Linked DNA regions of Oryctolagus cuniculus. The protein of the gene in region 5 interacts with the protein of the main gene of each other region in a biochemical or structural test. Links are inferred from orthologs where the notes say so. Each region holds a gene or a part of one and is shown on either strand. Other genes may lie near its edges. The genes, in order: DTX2, ELF2, CDK1, STUB1, RUNX1 and FOS.

What was found.
Region 1: the proteins of RUNX1 (region 5) and DTX2 form a complex in vitro, tested with the Homo sapiens proteins (2 studies listed by BioGRID, with this or other methods). The link is inferred for Oryctolagus cuniculus from reciprocal best matches to the Homo sapiens genes RUNX1 and DTX2.
Region 2: the proteins of RUNX1 (region 5) and ELF2 form a complex in vitro, tested with the Homo sapiens proteins (2 studies listed by BioGRID and IntAct). The link is inferred for Oryctolagus cuniculus from reciprocal best matches to the Homo sapiens genes RUNX1 and ELF2.
Region 3: of the proteins of RUNX1 (region 5) and CDK1, one has a biochemical effect on the other in vitro, tested with the Homo sapiens proteins (2 studies listed by BioGRID). The link is inferred for Oryctolagus cuniculus from reciprocal best matches to the Homo sapiens genes RUNX1 and CDK1.
Region 4: the proteins of RUNX1 (region 5) and STUB1 form a complex in vitro, tested with the Homo sapiens proteins (3 studies listed by BioGRID, with this or other methods). The link is inferred for Oryctolagus cuniculus from reciprocal best matches to the Homo sapiens genes RUNX1 and STUB1.
Region 6: the proteins of RUNX1 (region 5) and FOS form a complex in vitro, tested with the Homo sapiens proteins (2 studies listed by BioGRID). The link is inferred for Oryctolagus cuniculus from reciprocal best matches to the Homo sapiens genes RUNX1 and FOS.

What each region holds. Positions count from the first base shown.
Region 1 is NC_091450.1:44,162,887-44,166,983, forward strand, and holds the start of DTX2 (probable E3 ubiquitin-protein ligase DTX2), read right to left. Parts: upstream 2,801-4,097; 5' UTR 2,634-2,800; intron 2,522-2,633; exon of another isoform or gene 2,434-2,521; intron 1,579-2,433; exon of another isoform or gene 1,418-1,578; intron 1-1,417. UniProt on the Homo sapiens protein: Regulator of Notch signaling, a signaling pathway involved in cell-cell communications that regulates a broad spectrum of cell-fate determinations.
Region 2 is NC_091439.1:25,673,940-25,676,864, reverse strand, and holds the end of ELF2 (ETS-related transcription factor Elf-2), read right to left. Parts: coding exon 2,754-2,925; intron 2,333-2,753; coding exon 1,708-2,332; 3' UTR 501-1,707; downstream 1-500. UniProt on the Homo sapiens protein: Isoform 1 transcriptionally activates the LYN and BLK promoters and acts synergistically with RUNX1 to transactivate the BLK promoter. Isoform 2 may function in repression of RUNX1-mediated transactivation.
Region 3 is NC_091446.1:53,173,969-53,177,468, reverse strand, and holds the end of CDK1 (cyclin-dependent kinase 1), read right to left. Parts: intron 2,851-3,500; coding exon 2,687-2,850; intron 2,576-2,686; coding exon 2,434-2,575; intron 762-2,433; coding exon 663-761; 3' UTR 407-662; downstream 1-406. UniProt on the Homo sapiens protein: Plays a key role in the control of the eukaryotic cell cycle by modulating the centrosome cycle as well as mitotic onset; promotes G2-M transition via association with multiple interphase cyclins.
Region 4 is NC_091450.1:34,026,459-34,029,975, forward strand, and holds STUB1 (E3 ubiquitin-protein ligase CHIP), read right to left. Parts: upstream 2,068-3,517; coding exon 1,912-2,067; intron 1,745-1,911; coding exon 1,546-1,744; intron 1,471-1,545; coding exon 1,305-1,470; exon of another isoform or gene 1,221-1,304; coding exon 1,133-1,220; exon of another isoform or gene 1,011-1,132; coding exon 768-1,010; exon of another isoform or gene 698-767; coding exon 572-697; 3' UTR 501-571; downstream 1-500. Other genes in the region: JMJD8 (jmjC domain-containing protein 8), read left to right, coding at 65-132, 206-340, 417-497; RHBDL1 (rhomboid-related protein 1), read right to left, coding at 2,407-3,061, 3,133-3,193, 3,263-3,363. UniProt on the Homo sapiens protein: E3 ubiquitin-protein ligase which targets misfolded chaperone substrates towards proteasomal degradation.
Region 5 is NC_091435.1:10,027,676-10,031,855, forward strand, and holds the start of RUNX1 (runt-related transcription factor 1), read left to right. Parts: upstream 1-1,380; 5' UTR 1,381-1,590; intron 1,591-1,736; 5' UTR 1,737-1,794; coding exon 1,795-1,852; intron 1,853-4,180.
Region 6 is NC_091451.1:21,316,140-21,320,356, reverse strand, and holds the start of FOS (protein c-Fos), read right to left. Parts: upstream 2,801-4,217; 5' UTR 2,604-2,800; coding exon 2,463-2,603; intron 1,812-2,462; coding exon 1,560-1,811; intron 1,148-1,559; coding exon 1,040-1,147; intron 945-1,039; coding exon 303-944; 3' UTR 1-302. UniProt on the Homo sapiens protein: Nuclear phosphoprotein which forms a tight but non-covalently linked complex with the JUN/AP-1 transcription factor. In the heterodimer, FOS and JUN/AP-1 basic regions each seems to interact with symmetrical DNA half sites.

The DNA.
Region 1 (4,097 bases), on a different chromosome or scaffold from region 5:
GAGGCTGCCATGGCCTCACTGCTGGAGCAGGGCTGGGAGCGCCTGCTGAGCCCCGATGCTCACTCCAGGGGCCTGCACCTCTGCTTCCCTGCAGCCCACCTCGGGCACAGGTGGGAGGAAGCCTCCTGAAGCAAGCGGGCGCTTCTCTATGCCGGAAGTCCACACTCCCCAGGGTTGACAATCGAAGCCCCCTCCCTCCCTCCCCCTCAACAACACAACACTTGCAGGCCTAGGTCCCCTCTCCAATCCCTCCTCCTCCACACCCATCCAGGTGTCCCCACCTACGCTTCCAGGGGCTCAATCTGAACACACCTGCACAACGCCTTGAGGACCCCAAGGGAAGGAAGCAGCCCCTTAACCCCCACTGCGGCCTGTGCGTCAGGGCCCCCCCACCGCATCTTATCCCTGCAAGTGGACGTCAAGCCACTGAGGGCCAAAGCCCTCACCTAGCCTCCCCCACCAGAGGCCGGCACGGTGTAAGGCGCCGGCCGTAAGGGGAGTCCAGTCCATGCCACGCTGCCCCGAGGATTCTGCTGAAACCTTGCCAATGCCACAGCCGTGGCGGGGCTGTCACAAAACACCCGGCGCTGGTGACCGGCGCTGGTGACCGACAAAGCCAACAGGTGGGTTTGGCTCGAGGTTCTGGTGGCTGGAGGGGCCGCGCGGCCAGTGGCAGCATCCTGGTGAGGGCCCTTCGGTTGCACCTGCAGAAAGGGAACCAGCCGCACAAAAGGGACAAAAAGGGACCGTGCACCCGGAGCTAGTGGCTTTACAGCCATCGGCCTTCAGGAACAGGAATCCTCTCCCAGGAGAGGCGCATGCACCCGCTCATCTCCTTCCCTTAGGTAGGCCTCAGCTCTGTGGGACGCCACCACCTCCACACCAGGGACCTCAAGCACACCAATGGTCAAGCCACAGCAAACCACAAGCCCTCCCGGCTCAGACCCTGCTTACTCCTGCCGCCTGCACCACCCCACACCGGGCCCCGCTCTGCCCTGGCTCCCCTGCCCGGCGCCTCTCCCCGTGTCCTCAGCAGAGGGTGGGGGGCTCTGCCCTGAGGTTCCCCCAGCTCAAGGACGCCTTGGAACAGCCTGTGCCGTCCACGAAGGCAGGGATACTATCTGCACCCCCCCCCCTCCGCGTGGTTTATGCAACACAGGACGTGAAAATTTCCAGTTCAAAAGCAGAAATCAGGACTTCCGTCCTCCACCCCAAAGCCTCCTGGGTCTGGCTCAGCAGGAGCGGCGCTTCGCAAGAGGGCTCGTGGATGTACCTGGGGCAGCCGGCACCCACGGCCCACTCCCACCCAGGGCCTCGCTTCCACTCTGGACACCCCCAGCTCCACCCTCCGCGGTGTCCATCTTCTCTGCCGGAACCCAGGCCGAGAAGGCAGCGAGGTGAAGCCCCCAGCGCTCACCTCTTCTGTCCAGAGGGCCGGCACTCTCCGTGCCCCTTCTTGACGCAGACACAGATCCTCAGGAGGAAGCACTGGCCCGAGTCCCCATCTCGGTACACAGACAACAAGAACCGGGAAAATCCGAGAGCCTTGCTGACTCAGCGGCACGAATTCCAAGGCACCTTTGCCAACAAGGAAGAGGGCGATCAGGTTTTCAATTGAGAAACAGCAGGGAGGGGAAGCGGGTGCACAGACGCTGTGGCCGTGGCCCGGGACTGGAAGTCACCCGATTTATTTTCCAACAGCCCGGGCAGGGCAGAAGGTGGCGGGACTCTTTTCCTCCCGCCCGCTCAAAGGCAAGGAGAGGATTTTAAAAACCCAAGCCCGCACACAGAAGAGGCCTGAAAAAGCCCGCAGGCTGCTTAGACATCCAGGAAGTCCACACAGGGTGACAATCTGACCAAGGTCACACAGCAAGCGACCAAGAGGGCCAGCTACCGGGTCAGCTTCCGAGAGCCCTGATTTTTGGCTACCCAAAACACCGGAGGGTCTGGGGGCGGCACGCGGAAATTTGAGTTTCGGGGGGGGGGGGGCGGAGCGGGGGGTCTACGCGGCCGGCACTTTGGGAAGTGGAACCGGTGCAGCTGGTTAGGGCGGGCGGCATGAAACCCCAGCTCCAGAGATGGGACGAGTGCCCCCCCAAGTCCTCTTCAACACCCCTCGCGCATCCCTGCAAGTGACCGGGGACCCCGCGAAACGGGAGCTCAGGCGAAGGTGGACCCCACTGTTAGACGGGGATGGGGGGGGGGGCAGGGGAAGCCGAGTGACGGGGCCAACTCCTCCCCAAGTCCAGCCCCCCTGGCCCGGCGAGTTCCTCCACCTGAGGGCGGACCCAGGAGAAAACCCACAGCCTCGCCCACCGCCTCCTCCAGGTCCTGGGGAAAGGGGTCTGCTCCTCCCGACCCAAACTCCTCCGCGCCCCTCCTCCCGCTGCGACCCCGCGCCCAGCGCCCAGCGCCGACCCGAGCCCCCAGCACCTCCAAATCCCCCTCGACTCCCGGCCTCAGGACCGGGGGCGCGCGAGCCACTCCTCCCAATCCCCCGGGACTCCGGGGCCTCCCTCACTCCCACGCCCGCCCCCTTCCGGCCCCAGCTCGGCTCGGTCTCCCTCCGCCGCCTCCCGCCCTCGGGACCCCCAACGCTGCCGACGAGCGGGAGGCCTGCCCGCTTCTCTCACCGGGGCTGAGAAGGGCGAGGGGACGAGGCGAGGACGCCGACGCGCCGGGACCGGAGCTCTGGCTCGGCCCGGGCAGGGTTCCGGCTGTGGCTCCCGACTCCTAGCGGGAGACACCAGCCAGAGTAAAACTCGGCGTCGCAGCTTCCGAGCGCCCCGCCGCGCATGCCCAGCGCGCGGGGCCTTCTGGGAAATGTAGTCCGGCCTGGGTCAGGGGGCGGGGCAGAAGGAGATGGGCGGAGCCTCTGGCGCACCTGCCCAGGTGAGTGTGGTTTTCTTTCATTCCCTCGTGGAGTTCCTGCTTCACTCGTTACGGGCTCACTTTTTAACTTCTATTTATTTTTTACCTGAAAAGCAGACACAGACGCCTTCCACCGGTTCACTCCTCAAATGGCAGCAACACCTAGGGCTGGGATGGCTAAAGCCAGAAGCCTAGAACTCAGTCCAGGTTTCCACGTGGGTGACAGGAACCAAGTACTCGAGGCATCGTCTGCTGATTCCCAGGGTGCACAGTAGCAGGGAGCTGGACTGGGACTCAGGCACTCCATTCTGATACCTAGATATGGGCGCCGCAGGTGGAGGATTAACCAAGTGAGCCACGGCGCTGGCCCCCTCAACTCATTTTAAATAGTTCTACTGTTGTAGGCGTGATGCCAGGGCCTGCTCTGCTGCATACTGAGGACTGAAAAGTACATCAGAGATGTGTTTTTCTCCTAGAAGAGCTTTGCATCTACCTAGGGAGACTGAAACATAAACACACAATTGAAATATAGTAGGTTAGGGCTGGGGCTGTGGCACAGTGGGTTAACGCCCAGGCCCGAAGCACCGGCATCCCATATGGGCACCGGTTTGAGACCAGGCTGCTAAACTTCTGATCCAGCTCTCTGCTGTGGCCTGGGAAAGCAGTGGAAGATGGCCCAAGTCCTTGGGCCCCTGTACCCACGTGGGAGACCCGAAAGAAGCTCCTGGCTTCGGATCGGCTCAGCTCTGGCCATTGCAGCCAATTGGGGAGTGAACCATTGGATGGAAGACCTCCCCCCCCCCCCCGCCTCTCCTCTGTCTGTAACTCTGACTTTCAAATAAATGAATAAATCTTTTAAAAAATATATAGTAGGGGGAATACAATGATTTTAAAAAATGGGGCAGGCGTGGTGGCACCGCAGGATAAGCCACTGCTTGGGATGCCTGAGCCCGTACCTGAAGGCTGAGTTAGAGTTGGCACCTCAACTTCCTGTTAATGCGGCAGCTCACCTGGGAAGCAGCCCGGGGGTTCACACTGCAAAGTCCTGCCCTGACCCTGACAACTTCCCAGGTGGTCTCAGCTCCCCACCTTGGAAAGCTCCCGGGAGAATCCTCTCTGCTCAGCACCAAATGGACTACCTGGCCTGATTAACATTAAGCAATAAAATCTTTCCTTTAGGCGGGCACCCTAGGGGAGGCGCCTCTGCTGGCGCCAGGTGGGCCCCC
Region 2 (2,925 bases), on a different chromosome or scaffold from region 5:
TGCATAAAGGCCAAAAAATATTTAGTATAACCTCGTGTAAATTCCTAAAAAGCAGACAACTTTTCTCTATTGTAGAAAAAGCATTAAGATGCAGACTGGTAGGACCCAGTTTTGTGTGAAATTCGGTAATTCATGTAATCCTGCTGGTACTTCAATTTGCTAATCTGTAAAAATACTAAAACATGATTTATTCTTCTTACCCTCAAAAGGTCTGACTGAGAAACAAATGGTCTAATTTGAAAAAAGTTCTTTAGGTACAGCCAACTATAATACTAAATTCATTATTGTAGGTAGAACATTATAGTTTGTGATGATGGTGGAAAAGGAATTGGTGACATGCAGATATCTGCCAAATATTAATACAATGGAATGAAACAAAGTAGAATTTCTTCACAAAACAGGAAGGAGAAACGAGACTGCTATTACTTCTTAACTACAAAACATCTCTATGCTGGCTTTTGAATATTGTTAAAAATATCACCAGAGACCAAAGCACAAGATAAATTTCATTTCTATATTTCAGAAAACCTACTTGAATACACTTTGAAACAAGAGTACAACAAAATAGAATATACTTCAAATGTTGAATATACAAACTATTATAGTTCAAATCTGAACACTGGTACTTTCCCTCTTAAAACTTCAACTAAAAAATAAAATAACAGAAGGAAGGAAAAGAAAGGAAAGGAAAGAGAGAGAAGGAAGGGGGGAGAGGAAAGGAGGATGGCAGAGAGAGAGAGAGAGAGAGAGAGAGAGAGAGAGAGAGAAGCTAGCTAGCTAGCTCCAGGTATTAGAGCTACCTGACAAAAATTCATGCTGAGCCTGAACTTCCAAGTGACCGTAGAACTGAAACTGATATGTCTGCACAGACGCCAGGGCTAAGTGAGTGACACAGGCATGTTACAGCAAAAGGCCAGGGCCAACTGTTAATTTGTCCACAATTAAGAAACTGACAGACTTAAACTACCATATAAAATGTTACATGTAAATTCTATAACAATACTGTGCTAGGTACAAGATTTTTAAAATTTTTCTTTTAATAAAAAAGCTTTACACAAACAAGCCATTAGCTTATTTCAAGAAAGAAAACCGAAAATTAGTCTAAGGCCTTTGTTTTAAATCAGCTTAAGCTATATGATATATATATATAAAAAAAAATTCGCACTAGATCTTTTTTTGCTATCCTCTTTCTGAAGCTTTTGGATCCATTCTTCAATTCACATTCTAAAATACCTATATTAGCAGAGTCTTCACATAGCACCAGTTAAGTGAGAACTGTGCGAACACAGTAATAATTGCTGGTATGCATATAAAATGCATCAAAAATTGCTATATGTAACAATGAGATCACCCATCCCAACCCCTCCCCACTGAAAACTATATAACCTCTTACAGAAAGTTAGTGTTCCAAGTCTTAGTGTAACTTGATATTGTAGTGAGCTGCTTGGTCCCTTTCAATCCTTTTTCTCATTGATGGGTTCAGTTGTTTCCTACTGTAAGAGGCAGTTTTCTGTCAGCATCTCAACATGTAGCTCATCTCCCACTGAAACATGGGATAGGTAATATATTTCCAGTAAGTCTGATTGTTTTCTTATATGCAATACAAAGCTTTAAAGTCTTCCTTGGACTTGTCTTGATGACTTCCTTTGCAAATGTTTATCATCAGTACTACCATTAACAGTCTAAGTCCATGGTACAGCTGCTATTTCATTTCTCACATGTCACTAGACCTTCTGTTTTCATAGTTACAGGAAGGGCAATGGCTGAAGGCGCACTGACAACCACCACGTGGGTCACTGTCTTATTTCCATCTGCTGGTTTTTCTTCTACCAGCTGCAAAGTTTTCACATCATGTTCTTGCTTTTTTGCCACTGCTTCTGATTTAACCTCTGGCCCTTTTATTACTGCACTGATAACTCGAGGAGGAGTCTGGCCAGATGCCTGTTGAGTAGGCACTGATAGTCTCATTACAGGTGTACCATGGGCTATTGAAACAGGGGTAAGTGCTCTGACAGCCAATGGGGTTCCAACAATGTTAATGCTTCCTGATCCAGTCAGATTTGACTTTGTCTGCAGTTGACACTGTGCAAGTTGTGTAGCTGGGATGGTGATGATTTTGGCAGGCTGCATGGTGATCTTGTCTCCATTTTCAGTAGAGGCTGGCACCACAGTAGGGATTGTCTGAATGACTACCTTTGGAGAGGTTGCTGTCGGTGGACTAGTGCTGGTGATTAACGGTGCACCTGCATTGACTGACTGAACTGCCACAGTTGAAATTTTCTGACCCAATGATGTCATTACAACAGGTACTTGCATTGCCACACGAACTGTCCTAGTAGATTAAAAAGAAAGGAGTTTATTTACATTTAACTCTCAATTAGAACATAGTCTTCTATGCAAAAAGAGGAATGCAAACTCAAACTGCATAGAAGTAGAAGCAGTGCTCTGAAATTTCACAAGTGTTGGCAATCCTGGCAGTTTAGAATCTGAAGTGCCTTGAAACAAATACATTTTTAAAAAAAACACAAAAAACAAAAACAAAAGCTAAAGCCCAAATGAAGTAAAAAACAAATCATTTTAGTCAAGATACCTACTTTAACAACAATACACTTAAAAATGTCAGGCAGTTTTTGAAATCCTGACATCAAGTTCTTAGCATGCTAATATGTATTAAACAAATGGATATATAATTTTTACCAAGGATCTTTCTTAAAAAGATAAATACATAACAACTAATAGTGTGCCTCACTTACCTTGGAGCCGCCGTTGCAGATACAGATGTGGTGGTAGTAGGAGACCGAGATGAAGCATCGTGGCCAGGGGAAGTGATATTCACAACTCTAGCTACACCCTTCTCTGCTCTGGAGCAGTTTATAGGAGATGAGTTTTTCCCGCCACGAACAGAGGTTGCTGCTTTCAGGAGAC
Region 3 (3,500 bases), on a different chromosome or scaffold from region 5:
TCATAAATTTTCACAACTGTTCTTCCCTGCTGTGGACAGCCCTTGATCTTTGACTGTAAAACTTAGCAAACTTTGGCATGCTCTAATGTTAGTTTTATAAGTTACTGAAAACTCCTATAAATTTAGCATTATTTTTCAAATCTGTCTAGTGTTCCCATCCTGATGCTTAAACATTTAAGTCACAAATTGAAATACCAGCAGAAAAATATTCATCTTTAGGCAGGTTGTATAGTTACCATATGGCAAGAAAACACAGAGCATAAAAATTCTTCAAAGCATTATGAAACTTGGAACTTAGTATACTTTCCTACATTTTAGTAGTTCCAACTATATATAAAACAGAACTGCTGTAAAGATTGAGCTGATTTAAGCTACCTCAAATTTTCTTCAATTCCTGACATCAATATTAGATTGATTGTTTTATTATAGTAACAAAGTTGTTACAGAAAGATCTACACACATATACAGAATTATTATATTTAAATTCATATAGAACAATATTTACATTTTTAAGTTACAGTTTTGAAAAAAGAAGAACAGCTTAAGTTTTACAACATAGAAAAGAAAAATATACAAGACAAAAATAGAGTTAACAGTAAAAATACAACTATTCATTCTCGGTGTAGCAATCTGGAAACGTCAAATGTGGAAATGGCAAAGAGCTATATCTTCTTAATCTGATTGTCCAAATCATTAAAATATGGATGATTTAGTGCCATTTTGCCAGAAATCCGTTTGGCAGGATCATAGACTAACATTTTCTGGAGGGGGAAAAGAAAAAAGATACTTATTTATTAAATGAGTCATTTTTTAAAATCTCCTTTAATCCTTAACTTTTTTTATCAATAAGCCCTAATAATTTCAGTGAAAATCTACTAAAAGAACATCTCCATTAATTTATTACATAAATGTCTTATCCCTCAGAGTTCACCCTGTAGCTCCTAAATCATAAATATCACAATAATTTTTGTTAAATTATCCTAAGACCCAAGTATTCAAAGATAGCTTTAAAAGCATCACATAAATTTAGGAAAGATACCTAGTTAATTATATTTATGCTGAGAATTAAATGACCATCTGAGTTATTTATAACGTTCTTCAATGGTGACAATTAACTACAGTTGTTTCTGCTATAGCTTCTAACAAGTTCCACATTAAAGAGAAAATCCACAGCATAATGTGTTATACACATGGCCAAAAATGAGTCACTAAATGAATAACGGTCAAACAACCTAGTATTAAAGTTAATTTACACATCACCAAAAAAGCTAAAAAGTTGAAGACGGATTTTAAATTTTATCTGAAAGAACTATTAATCTTAAAAAAGAAAATCAAATCAAGAAGCAGACTACAGATACTTTTACTAACAAATCATCATCCTAACCCTTAGGTATTCAGCACTGTATGAAGTGTTTTGGCTACTTATCCCTTACAAGATTGGCATTAGTCCCACTATACAAATGAGGACCCTGAGGCTCAAAGGCGTTCATTTGCCCAAGATCATATAATAGCTAAGGAATGACAAATAGGAAATCATGTCCAATTTAAGAAGTGCAGTGATGGTTCAACTGGGGAAGACTTTGCCCATAAGGAGACATTTTGGCTGTCCTAAGTGGGGAGAGTGTTCTACTGACATCTAGAGGGTAGAGGGCATAGATGCTGCTAAACATGCTGTGATGCACAGGACAACTATGTGGATCAAGATGTCAATTATGGCTACAGAGAAACCCACTTTCCGGTATTTGACTTTTGTTTCCTTAACTGAAATAAAATCAAAGAATTGTAGAAGTCAGAAGAGCAGCCTGGCCAGAACTGTAGAAGAGCCTCAAGTCCAATCAACAATACTAGCATACTGTACCAAAGACCTGAATGGCAGATAAAGGACTCTGGCAGTCACTATAAGCAACTGAGAAAAATCTAAATCTGACCTTAATTTGGTTGTATGATTTACAGATGGTAAGCTTCCTGGAGAAGGCCTTTCCCATCCTAAGAGGTTCTACTCTATTTTTTGCTTATTTGTAAAGAAAATCATTAAATGGCAGAAGTAATGTGAAAGAAGAGAAAGATTTTTAAGAGATACAGCAATTCTAACCTTTCTGATAGAGAAACAAGTGAGATATGGAATTCATGCTGTAAACTCCTTTATTAACTAAAAACAGCAGGCAGTAAGAAAATACTTGACTAAGATAGACTAAAAAGGAATTAATAGTAAATGACAAAAAAAGCTGAGAAGGAAGCCACCACAACTTAGCAATTCAAACTGCCTATAGTCATCTCACATAACAAAAACCAAAACCCTTCTCAAAACCACTACTGTTTCTTGATGTCTAAAACGGGGCAGTAACACAATAGAGTATTCCCCAGGTAAACAAAGGACTGAATGAATATGTGCAGAATCATCAGTAAGGTTAAAGTATAAACGGCACTGCTTACCGAGAGCAAATCCAAGCCATTTTCATCCAAATTTTTGACATGAGATGCCAAGCTTCCTGGTTTCCACTTAGGAAATGTATTCTTATAGTCCTGTAAGGATTCCACTTCTGGCCACACTTCGTTATTGGGCGTGCCCAAGGCTCTAAAAGCCATTGCAAAACATAACATCAGTTAAAGCATAAATATCATCTTTTTACATACATGTTGCCTGCATTACTTCAAACATGGTAGCAATTTTGGTATAAATAAATACCTGAAAATCCTGAAGAGCTGATCAATTTCTGAATCTCCATGGAAAAGTGGTTTCTTAGTTGCTAATTCTGCAAATATGGTGCCTATACTCCAAATGTCAACTGGAGTAGAGTAACGAGCTGACCCCAGCAATACTTCTGGAGATCTATACCAGAGTGTTACTACCTATTACAAAGCAAATTTTTACAGAAAATAAACATGGTGCACCAAATTACCTACATTTAAACACTTATATTTCATTAGGCTGGCTCTTTAGAAAGCTGTTAACACCAAGTTAATAAACTATATACAGAACACTAAATTGAATGTCACTTCTAACTTCTACACATCAAGAGAAAAACAGACAAAAGCATACCAAATCTTTCTTGTTTTTCTTATCATTAAAATGAGATCATCAAAGCATGTTATATTTTAAAAAAATGACAGTGGATTTAGGAGTGACACTATACAAACTGCTGCACTGCTTACTGCTAGCATGTAACTAGTCAAATAATAATTTATTAGTAATCTAGAATTAAGCCAACAGTTCTGTATATTCAATCATGATGATACCATTTCTAACTTAGAACAAAGCTAATGCGTTCAGAGGCTGACGCTGCCACTTGGGACAGCTGCAGAGCACCTTGGTTCAGAGTACCAGTCACTAAAATTCCAACCCAGCTTCCTGCTAATATACCTGGGAGGAAGGAGAATAATGGCCAGAGCACTTAGGCTCCTACACCCTGGCTTCCACCTGGCCTGGCCCTGACTATTGCAGACATCTGGGGAGTGAACCAGCAGATGGAAGACCTGTCACTCTGCCTTCCAAATAAATA
Region 4 (3,517 bases), on a different chromosome or scaffold from region 5:
CGGGAGCCGGGGACGGGGGCAGGGCAGGGGGGTGTGGTTTTTTGCTCACCCGCCAAACCCACAGGCGCGGGCACCGGGGTGCCCTTCCACTGGCACGGGCCCGGGTATTCGGAGGTCATCTACGGCCGCAAGGTCAGTGCCGTGGGCAGGGGCTGGGCGCGCGGACCCGCGGACCCGGGGTGAGCGTGCGCTTCCCCTCCCCCAGCGCTGGTTCCTGTACCCGCCCGAGAAGACGCCGCAGTTCCACCCCAACGAGACCACGCTGGCCTGGCTCCGGGACACGTACCCAGGCCTGGCCCCGGCCGCGCGGCCGCTCGAGTGCACCATCTCCGCGGGCGAGGTCCGGGCCGGGGCCGGGGCCGGGGCCGGGGCGGGGGAGGCGAGGCCCCCCGCTGACGCCCGCGCCCCTCCCGCAGGTGCTGTACTTCCCGGCCCGCTGGTGGCACGCCACGCTCAACCTGGACACGTGCGTGTTCATCTCCACCTTCCTGGGCTAGCGCTCGTGCTCACGGACTTTATTGCAGGACAGGGGCGGCGCCGGGGCGGGGGCGGGGGCGGGCCTTGCAGGGGCTCAGTAGTCCTCCACCCAGCCGTTCTCCGAGATGAACGCGTCGATGACCTCCTTCATGGCCAGGTTGGGGATGAGCTGCTCCTGGGTCAGGGGGCTCCGGGTCACGGGGTCAAAGTGGCCCACGCGCTGCGGGGACAGCGGGGTCAGCGGCGCGGCGGGGCGGGGCGCCCGGCCGGGCCGCCGCGGCCGCACCCACCTGCAGGTGCTCCTCGATGTCCTTGCGGTCGTAGGTGATGCCGCTGGGGGTGATGCAGGGCTCCCGCATCAGCTCGAAGCTGATCTTGCCGCACAGATAGTCGGGGACGTCGCGCCTCTGCACACAGGGCGCGCTCAGTGGGCGGGCGGCCGGCACCTGCCCACGGGCCCCGCCGACAAGGCTCACCTTTCTCTTCTCGTCCACTTGCGAGAAGAGCTCGTCCATGTCCGCCAAGTACTTGTCCTGGAAGAAGCGAGGGGGCGCTGCCCCGGGGCCGCACACGGCCCTCCCCCGGCCCAGCGCCGCCTGCCCCCGCCGCCCCCGCCGCCCCCGGGGCCCGCGCCCGCCGGCCGGGCCGCCCTCACGTGCTTGGCCTCAATGCAGGCCTGCTGGGCGCGGACGTGGCCGTCGTCCTCGTCCCCCTCGTGGCTCCGCTGGCACTCCTCCAGCTCCCTGCGGGCGAGCGGCCGCGCGTCAGGACCCGCCCCGCCCCGCCCCGCCCCGCCCCGCTGTCAATAAACGCGCGGAGGGGCCCACCTCTCGCGCTCGGCCGCGATGAGCCTGGCGAGGTAGGCGTGCAGCTCGCTCTCCTGGTGGATGCGCCGCTCCTCCAGGCTGTTCCAGCGCTTCTTCTTGGCGATGCGCAGCGCGCTGGGGATGTCGTCGCCGAAGTTGAGCCGCTGCTCCTTGGCCAGGCTGTAGGCTGCGGGCGCGGGGCGCGCGGTCAGCCCGGCCGGCCGCCCGCAGCCGCGCCGCGCGCCCCGCGCCGCGCGCCCACCTCGCTGCAGGTTGGCGATGGCCTCGTCGTAGCTCTCCAGCTCCAGCTGGCACTGGCCCAGGAAGAAGTGCGCCTTCACCGACTGGCCGTCCAGCTCCAGCGCGCGCCGGCAGTCGGCCAGCGCCTGCTCGTGCTGCTGCATCTTCAGGTAGCACAGGGCGCGGTTGGTGTAGTACACCGCCACCAGCGGGTTGCGCGTCTGGGGAGAGCGGGCGGCCGCGCTGTGGGCGTGCGCGCGGGCCGCACCCGCACCGCACCCGCACCCGGGCGGCCGCCGCCGCCGGGGCCGAGTCAAACGCCCCAAGCCGGGGGGCCCCGAAGGGCCGCGCCCCGGCGCCAGGCCCGCCCCCGGCGCGGCGCACTCACGATGGCGCGGCCGTAGCAGGCCGCCGCCTCCGGGTACTTGCGGCCCACGAAGAGCCGGTTGCCCTGCTCCTTGAGCTCCTGCGCGCTCGGGCTCTTCTCGGGGCTGCCGCCGCCGCCCAGCCGCGCGCCGCCCTCCTTCTCCTCCTTGCCCTTCATGGCGCCGCGCGGCACGGCCTGGGCTCCGCTCGCGGGCTCCGCGCCCGGCCGCCCGCAGCCCGCGCCCCGCTCGGCCCGGCCCGGATCGCCGCCACCGGAACTTCCGGCCGCGGGGGGCGGGGTCGCGCGTGCGCGCTGCGGCGGGGTGGGGGCGGGGCCCGCCGCGCGGAGCCTCCGAAGGACCGCCTCCCTGCGGCCGGGCTCCGCCCCTCCGCGCACGCCCCGCCCCCGGCATGGGGGCAGCGGGAGGCCGAGGCGTGCAGCGCGTGCGGGCCCCCGGGGGCGGGCCCCGCCGGCGGAGACGACCCAGGACGCCCTGACCCGCAGCTGAGTACGGCCTCAGCTGCCGCAGCCGCCCGGGCACCCTGTGCGGCCCGTGAGGCAGCGTCCGCACAGGTGGGAGCGACCCCGCCGGCGCCGCCCCCTCGGCATGGGCGGTGGGACACCGTGCCTGACCGGCCCCAGCCTGGCCCCCTCCCCCACGGCGTGCAGGCCGAACTCGTGGGCCAGGACACCCACCGCCTGTCCCCTGGGGCCGCAGCCCAGTCCCTTCGTAGATGGGAGGGCCCCGCACGGTCCGCGGGAAGCGGGGGGCAGAGACGCCTCCAGACCCCGGACAGCCACCTGGTGCCGTGTAAAATATTTATTCACTCTGCAAAAGGCGCGGACCGCGGACCCGGGGGCGGGGCGGGGGCAGGGCCTCCCCTGTGCCCAGGAGGCGGTCAGGGCGGCGGGGGGACGTGGGCGCCCAGCAGGTCGTAGGCAAAGACGTTCCAGAAGACGGCGAAGAGCAGGAAGGTGCCGTAGGCCAGCAGGACCACCCACCAGCCGCACTGGTCCCGCAGGCGCTCCTCGTAGCTGCGTAGGATGGTGAGGCCCATGCTCACGCCCACCACGGCGCCCGCCAGGTGCGCCATGAAGCTGGGCTGCGGGCCCGAGGCGGGCAGCGGCGGCGAGAAGCGCAGCCACACGGCGCGGCCCACCTCCGAGCTCACTGCGGAGGGAGGCGGCAGGTGGGCGGCGCCCCGCCCGCGGGCCCGCCCCGCCCGCCCCGCCCCTACTCACTGCACACCAGGGCCAGCACCATCCGCAGCAGCTTGTAGGGACACCGCATCCCAGCCCAGTTCTGAGGGGCGCGGAGAGGCCGTGAGACAGGCCCGCGGCGCCCGCCCCGCCCCCCGCGGGCGCCCATTACCATGACGACGTTGGCCAGGTGCGCCGAGCACAGGGCGTAGACCCCGCCGGAGCCCCCCACCACGGGGGCCCGCATGTCGGTGATGGACACGGTCAGGGAGCCTGCGGGCCAGGAGGGCAGGGGTGAGGCCCGGCGGGCGGCGCGGGGCGGGCCGGGGCGCGGCGCCTCACCTGCCAGCACGCCCGCCAGGTACAGGAGGCTGATGCGCAGCGCGCCGTGCACCATCTCCAGGGGCACCCCGATCATCAGCTGCAG
Region 5 (4,180 bases):
GTCTGGGAGAAAGCAGTCTCTGGGGTTTCGGTTCCTGCTTCCGTCAAAAGAGGAGTAAGTTAAAAAAAAAAAAAATCGTGTCCGTGGCTTTTGAAAGGCCTGGGAGTCTGAGGGCACGGTTGGGGTGCAGAATTCCGCGGAGGCACCCGTTCCAAGGGACTGTCCTGGGGTTCAGGCTCTGCCGTGGCCTCCCAGGGCAGTGGTGCACCAGCTGGAAACCCAGGGCTGGGGTCTCGGACCCTGCAGTACAGTTTCTCTTGAGCGATGACAAAAAGGATGCTTTTGTTGATCAGCAGGGGAAACCGACAAGCAGGATAAAGCTCCCCAAGGCTGGGGTGGTCTGCACGCCCCCGCACACAAAAGTAGCCTGCTTCTTTAGGACTGACCCATGTGGGCATTGCACAGGCAGAGCGTGAGCTCATGGGGCCCATCAGCCAGCCCCCCCGACAAGGGGCCGCTCCCGAGAAGCCCCTCCTCGGCTTCCTCTGGCCATGGTGAATTCTGGAAGTCTCACCAGCTACCTGCACTGACAGGTGTTTTGGGCCGGTTGAGCTGAGCTAAGCCAAGGCAGGCCCAGGAAGCAGGTCTTCGCAGGTGAAACTCGCTTTTTCCTTAGCCTCCTAACCAGAGTGTGTGTACAAGTGCCAATCCCTGTTCTCAGAGACACAGGGCCTCCACCCCCGTACTGAAACAGAGGTGTGCAAAAATGTCCATGGAGGAGGAAGAAAGCCACATACGTTTGATTTCATTACACGGACACTTTTATCTCAAAAAGGAAAGTGCTCTCCTTTGGACAGGCTTTAAAACACTGATAAATCGCTAGCCCCTTTTAGGGGTCTCTCGCCTAATCTTTTTTTCCCCCTTGTCATTTCACTCACACTGTTACACTCTTGAATAAGGACTGACTTCTTCCCCCACCCCCACCCCCCCACACCCCCTGCCGCCAGCTGATTTTGAGCATTCGAAATGACAGGGTCCACATCCTGTGTATGTAGCATCCCGACGACCGACGCCAGCGTTGAGTTACTATTGAATAGGCAGCAATGAAATCCTTATCAAAATACTCAGTAGCTTCCCAAACCCACAAATACCAAGAGCAGGAGCTGAGCCATCCCTAAGCCAGCAGAGACCCTTGCGATAAGAGGAGAGACCGAGCCACTGTTCTTCTGCATCCCCTCTCTCTTGAAGTCTCTACTGGGCTTTGTGTTTGCACTGCCTGGGGGGCAGGGCAGGTGGGAGAAGGAAGAGAACAGCTCAGAAAGTACAAAAAAAAAAAAAAAAATTGACCTCACTTGGCGTCACATGACTGGCAAGAACCAATGAAGCCAGGCCGTGGAAAGGGGAACAGTTAAATTTGTAATTTGGGCTGTGTGAAAACTTCTTTGGGTCTCACAGACAACCACAGAACCACAAGTTGGGTAGGCTGGCAGTGGCAGGAGGCTCAGCCCAGTGTAGTGGTCAGCCGGCCGGGCGACTCACCCTGAGTGCAAACCACAGGCTATCAGAGTGGCGCACAGCGTCAGCCCACAGCCCCGGCGGGCGCGCTGCTGGGTTTGCTCTTTAACAATTTGAATATTTGTTTGCACCAAGGTACCTTTGTGTTTTTTTTTTTTTTTCGTAGAACTCGGGGAGTCCCAGGAGTACCCAGGCGGAGGTGGGGAGGGGAAGAGATGGAGGGAGCCATGATGGGCGTGAGGAGGTGAAGGCGGTGACCTTTCTTGGTTTTCACTCCTAAGGTAAAAGACACCATTGAACTCCCGCCTTCGGCAGAGGGTGCGATTTCGGGAGGAAGCTATGGCTTCAGACAGCATATTTGAGTCATTTCCTTCGTACCCAGAGTGCTTCATGAGAGGTGAGTACCGTGCTGGTCTTCTGGTATCTGCTTGTGTTCAGCTCTGCGCCCACAGCAAGGGGGCAGAGGGGCGCCTGGGTGCCCGTCTGTGTCGGAGTGGGGGAGGACTTGTCCCCGAGGCCGGTGATTGCAATGCTATTGGATTACCAACTCCTCCGAGGGCAGCGCCGCCGAACTGTTTTTACGCATACTTGGTTAAGCTGGTGAAGTGCTGGGTCAGAGGACGAAGGCAGCGCGGTAGCTCGGGCTGCTCTGGTTTAAAGTCCTGGAGATCAGAATGCTTGCACAAAGCTCCCCCGGGTTTTATGCGTGCCGTCCCTTGCCGGCAATGGAATAACCGTGTCTGAGTTAGCCTGAACTTTGCACGCTGTGTGGCCCGGACGGCAGCCTGCCCTGGGGGCTTAGCAGGCACACACGCTGAGCAAGCCAGCCGGGAAGGGCTGGAGCCAGCGTGGGGCAAGAGGCTCTCGGATCTGCCCTGTGCGTCAGCCAGCCTGGAGGTCTCAGGCTCAAAGTGGCGACTCGGCTATCTCCAACACGCAGAGAGTATTGGAGCCTGGCACACTCGCTTAGGTTAGAGTTGTCAGGTCCAGGCTGTGCTGTTTTCCTGGGCGCCCCCAGGCAAAGAGGCAGCCTGCATCTTTGAAGCGAGAAAGCAGGTTGTGACATCCCAGGGTCTTTCTCTTTCTCTCGAAGAGAGCAAGGAAGGAGTTTCCCAAGTCCAACGAACGTTCTGGCAGCTTGGGTCCGTGGACTGCACGCTCACCAACGGGAGCACTGGTGTGCAAAACCCCTACGCACTTTTGCAACCAGACTCTTGAAACCTGCAAAGCTAGGGCTGAGCAGTGAGTGTGAGACAGTGTGCCGCCCGGAGGCATTTTGTGTATCTTTCGTGGTAAGAGAGGGCAGTGCTTAGCCGAGGAAAAACAGTAACATGAAAGACCATGAAGGCGTCGGAGCACCGGGGCTGGGCTTTGGCCGGTACCTGCAGAATGTGGCTTGATGGTTTGGCAGAGCTGGAGCGGAGTGGGCTTGGATGGAAGACTAATTAATTTTCAGGCTCTTGCATGCCCCCAAATAGTGTCTGCGCCTCGTTCTCTATTCATGCAGTCAAGTGAGCAGGGGAACGTGGCGGGCTTGCCAGCCGCTCGGTCACAGCAGACGCCGCTGGGAGTGCCACATTCCATTTGTTTCTGGATCCCTGAAATTTAAAAACTTGACAAAGATGTGTGTGTGTGTGTGCGCTTGTGCGTGTATGTCTGTGTTTGTGTGTCTGTGCATCTGCGTGTGTGTGCTTGTGTGTCTGTGTGTATGTCTGTGTCTTATTTGTGTGCTTGTGTGTCTGTTTTTTGTGTGTCTGTGTTTGTGCGTCTGTGTCTGTGTATCTGTGTGTCTCATTTGTGTGTGTGTTTGTGTCTGTGTGTGTTTGAGTGTGTGTATATCTGTGTGTCTGTGTGTATCTGTATATGTGTCTGTGTGTCTTGCTTGTGTGTATCTGTGTGTATCTGTGTATGTGTGTGTCTGTGTGTGTGTATCTGTGTGTCTGTGTTTGTGTATCTACATGTGTGCCTGTGTCTGTGTCTGTGTGTGTCTTGTTTATGCGTGTTGGTGCCTCTGTGTGTGTATCTATGTATGTGTGTTCCTGTGTGTGTGTCTGTGTGTCTGTGTATCTGTGTGTGTATCTGTATCTATGTGTCTTGTTTGTGTCTGTGTGTATCTGCATGTGTGCCTGTGTCTGTGTGTGTCTTGTTTATGTGTGTCTGTGTGTGTATCTGTGCGTGTCTTGTTTATGTGTGTTGGTGCCTCTGTGTGTGTATCTGTGCATGTGTGTGTCTGTGTATCTGTATCTGTGTGTCGTGTCTGTGTGTGTGTGTCTGTGTGTCTTGTTTGTATGTATCTGTATGTGTATGTGTGTCTGTGTGTGTCTGAGGGAAAGGGGTAGGTCTAGGCGGACACACAAGACAGCCAGCCGTGAGCTGATCCCCAGCTTCAGCCGGAAGGGTTTCTGAGCGCTCTCCACTGGCAGCGGGGAGTGCAGTCGACTCACGGGGATGTGTGTGAGTCACGCATCGCATCTGGCAGCGTCGTGGGCGCCGTGGGGCCAGGGCCCTGGCTGAGAGGCTGCGCGGGGCTCCCTCGCAGCGTTTCCCCTGGGGAAGCAATATTCGCAGAATAAGAGAAAAACGAGCTTCCTGCCTTCCTGCACTTCCAGCGCCCTCTCCAAGCGCTGACTGTTTCCTCTGTGATCAACCCCAGGAAGGCAGAGGCAGGACATTTTGCTGGGATGTCAGCGTGTAGGGCTGGCCCTGGAAGCCGTCCTTAGAGAAC
Region 6 (4,217 bases), on a different chromosome or scaffold from region 5:
AGAGAAAAGAGACACAGACCCAGGCCTGGCTCAACATGCTACTAACTACCAGCTCTCAGAAGTGCCACTGGGAACAACACACACTCCATGCGTTTTGCTACATCTCCGGAAGAGGTAAGGACTCGGGTCCACACGCGGGTGCGTTCCAGTCCTTGCGGCCCACAGCCTGGTGTGTTTCACGCACAGATCGCGTCCTCCCTAGTCTACCGGAACCCTCGAGGGAAGACGTGGTTCTTTCTGTAATGCACCAACTCCGGACAGAGGCAGGGCGCCGCGCCGGCTGCCTCCCCAGCCCGGCCGGCTCACAGGGCGAGCAGTGTCGGGGAGCTGAGCGAGTCAGAGGAGGGCTCGTTGCTGCTGCTGCCCTTGCGGTGGGCCGCGGCGCAGCTGGGGAAGGAGTCAGCCTCGGGGTAGGTGAAGACGAAGGAAGACGTGTAAGTGGTGCAGCTTGGGGTACAGGTGACCACCGGGGTGCACAGGGGCTCCAGCTCCGCAGCCATCGGCCCCATCCCCAGGGCGCCACTGTGCAGGGGCTCCCAGTCTGCGGCATAGAAGGAACCGGACAGGTCCACGTCCGGCACAGAGCGTGCCGTCTCCGAGCCGCTGGGCCTGGATGACGCTGGGAACAGGAAGTCATCGAAGGGCTCGGCCTTCAGCTCCATGCCGCTCAGGTTCTTGCCGGGCTCCACTGCGGGCTTAGGCTCCGGGTCGTTGAGGAGGGGCAGACTGAAAGGCTCCTCGGACTCCGGGGTGGCAGCCTCGGGCAGGCCCCCGCTCAGATCCAGGGATCCCACGGACATCTCCTCGGGGAAGCCCAGGTCATCGGGGATCTTGCAGGCGGGCCGGTGGGCTGCCAGGATGAACTCCAGCTTCTCCTTCTCCTTGAGCAGGTTGGCGATCTCCGTCTGCAGCGCAGACTTCTCGTCTTCTAGCTGATCTGTCTCCTGTGTTGGGGAAGGATGGAGACAGCATGAGACTCGGTCACACTCCAGGGCCCAGCCTCGAACTTCGAAAGGTGTGACCCCTGGGGTCTACTTACCGCCTGCAGGGTATCGGTGAGCTCCCGCCTCCGGTTTCGGCACTTGGCTGCAGCCATCTTATTCCTTTCCCTTCGGATTCGCCTCTTCTCCTCTTCCTCGGGTGACAACTACAACGACACCAAGCAGAGAGCGCTTCAGTAACAGTGACAGCCACCACTTCGGGGAAGCTGGCTCCTGCCGCCTCCCAGCTCCCTGGCACCTCCTCTGACGAGTATTTCTAACCTGCAGTCGCAGGCGGGGTGTGACTTGCATTTAAAATCAGATCCTCAGCCCAAGAACAAAGATGAGCCCAGGCTGAGGGCGCCAGCGACAGGAAACTATCAGGGAAGAAAACTACAGACGGACTTCTTGGGGGCGGGACTATCGGAGTCTGGCCTGGAGCCAGGCTTCCTGGCTCGGGATGGGATGCACAGACAATTCCCACTCTGGCTTCATCCTCGCTGCTGGGTTCCCCCAATCTCCGCTGCTGTCCCCGTGACCCGCCTCCCCCACCCCCCAAGGTGCAGAGGCGCCCCTCACCTGCTCCACCTTGCCCCTTCGGCCGATGCTCTGAGCTCTGCCTCCGGTCAGGGTCTTCACGTTTCCAGCCCGGGGGTAAGCCCCAGCCGAGGGGGCGGGGACTCCGTAAGGGTGGGGGGCTCTGGTCTGCGACGGAGCCACGGAAGAGACCAGGGTGGGCTGCACCAGCCACTGCAGGTCCGGGCTGGTCGAGATGGCAGTCACGGTGGGGATGAAGTTGGCAGTGGAGACGGCCAGATCCGAACAGAAGTCCTGGAAGAAAACAGAAGGAGAAGCCGCCGTGAGCGCGCGGGTTGCGTTCACAGGTGGGGCGCGCCGGGTTCCCAGCGCCTGCCGCATGCAGCAGCCGGGGAACGGCGCCTGCGGGGTCTGTTAGTTCCCATCCCGGCTGGAAGCTCTGCCCTCTGCCCGCAAGGTCTCCGCAACGCGGCGCCTCCTGTCTCCAGCCCGCGGCCGTGTTCCCGTTATTTCTCCAGCAGCATCACTCGCTGGAAAGGGGGTTTGTTATAAATATCCCTGACGTCCGCGCTGACGCAGGCGCCGCTCCGGAGTCTCCAGAATGAACTCGCTTTTTATCAATGAAACTGCCTTACGCACCCTCCTCCCGCGCCCCTCCTCCCGGCTCCGGGCCGCCCTCTGCCGCCTGCCCCAAAGGAGCCGGACCTCCACCTGGCGAGTCTCTCCCTGGGCTCACGTCCGCCCCGGTCGCAGAGGGCGGGCAGGGGGCTGCCCGGCGCGGACCCGCCGGGCAGAGGGGCAGGCATGGCTTACTATGACGACTGGCGAGCGTGCGCTCACAACAAGCCCCGCGCTCCCAGACTGGGGCTGCTCCGGCCGCGGCAGCCTCCCACCCTGGCGACCCCCCGGGTCCCGGGCCCCACGGAGGCGCCAGTGCGCCCTCACCTGCGCATTGACCGGGGAGCCCATGCTGGAGAAGGAGTCGGCTGGGGAGTGGTAGTAGGAGAGGCTGTCCCCGGCTGGCGAGGCGCTGCTGCAGCGGGAAGACGCTGCCTCGTAGTCGGCGTTGAAGCCCGAGAACATCATGGTCGCAGGGAGGGCAAGCTGGGCGAGGGGCCTGGGCACCGAGGCCGGCGGAGCGCTGGCTGGGGCAGAGCTGGGTCGGAGCGCGGTCACTGCTCGCTCGCTATGCAGCGGCCGCCGGCTCTGTCTCAGGTTCTTGGCTGCTCGCTGCAGAGGCGCTTGGAGTACGAGGCGCCGCAGCCACCGCTTTTATAACAGCATTTTGTGAATGAGCCCAACGGCGTCACCGGGCGCAACCATGTGGCGCTGGAGGGGTGGCGCGCCGGCTGGGGTGGCGCCGCTGCGACCCGGCCACCCCCAGCCGCGCGCAGCCCCCGCCCCGGTATGCCTGTGAGTCCTTACTCTGCGGGCGTGGCGAGATGAGGGTCCCGGAGGGGTCTCAGACCCCCGAGAAGAGGGTCTTCGGGGGTGGCTCCCCCCACGGCGACACGGGACGGCCGTGGAAACCTGCTGACGCAGATGTCCTAATATGGACATCCTGTGTAGAGGGGGGAGGGATTGACGGGAACTGCTCGCGGGCTGCAGCCAACATTGAGGGTGCAGCGCGGGGGGGAAGCGGGGGCCGCGCCGGGGCGGGGGAGGGGAGGCGGGAGAGGCGGAGAAGGCGAGCGAACATTCCCACTGGGCACGCTGCGGACCCTTGTTCCTGGGGTCGTGGGGGATGGGACGGAGGCCGGCCTCTCACCCCGGTGCAGGGACTAGGGTTGGTTCTGAGGCTCAAGTACTGGAGGAACAGGTACACGGCCCCGAGGGCGCAAGCGCGGCTCGCAGAGGAACGCACGCAGCCCCCATTCCCGACCCTCGCCCTAGCTGGGTGCAAAATGTGGCCCCAGACCCGAGCCCCTGAGCCCCCGAGCCCCCAGGGTCCCAGGATCATTACTACGTTTGGAAGCAGAACGTGATGGGTCTAAAATGAAATACGGTAGCCCGGCTTGATTTGCGAGGCGGGGGTACTTTGATTTTTACTGATTCGTTTTCGTGTTTGGAGGAAGGCAGCGCACTTGTTTTTTTCTTCTGGGCCGAACGTGGGGGTGTTAGTGTTACTGTCCAATCCCTGGGACGCCCGTCCATATACGTCATACAGACCCCCGCGCCAGGATGCCAAGGGGTCGTCAGCCGCGTTCCGAGCGGCGTCCTGGGGGTGGGTGGCCTGTGCGGGGCCCCAAGGTGGACTGAGCCGCCAGGGAACGCAAGTCAGAGCTGGGGGTGCGGTGGGGGCCGGGTCGGTTCCGCCAGGAAACTGGGCTCCCAAGGAGCCCGCAGCGGGTGATTTTCCAGCTCGGATGGGAGGCGGGCAGCAAGGGGAATGGAAGAATGGTGCCCAGCAGTATCCAGGCGGGAGGCCTCGAGGCCCGGGCCCTGGAAACCTGGAGGTCTTGGGGGCCGAGCAGGTGCTGCAGAACGCGCCACGCCCCCCCAACGCCCCCAGCCTCCCGCTGGGCTGCAAAGGACCGCCGGGGTCACACTGTCCCAGCTGGGCCCCGGCGCGCCGGACACCCCTGGAGTGCAACGGCGCAGGTCCCTCTGCAGGACCCCTGAGTCCTCTGACCCACTCTGGGGGCCTAGGGGTCGCGGCCAGCCGAGGACCCGCTCCCGGGGAGGGGCGAGGCAGGGTCA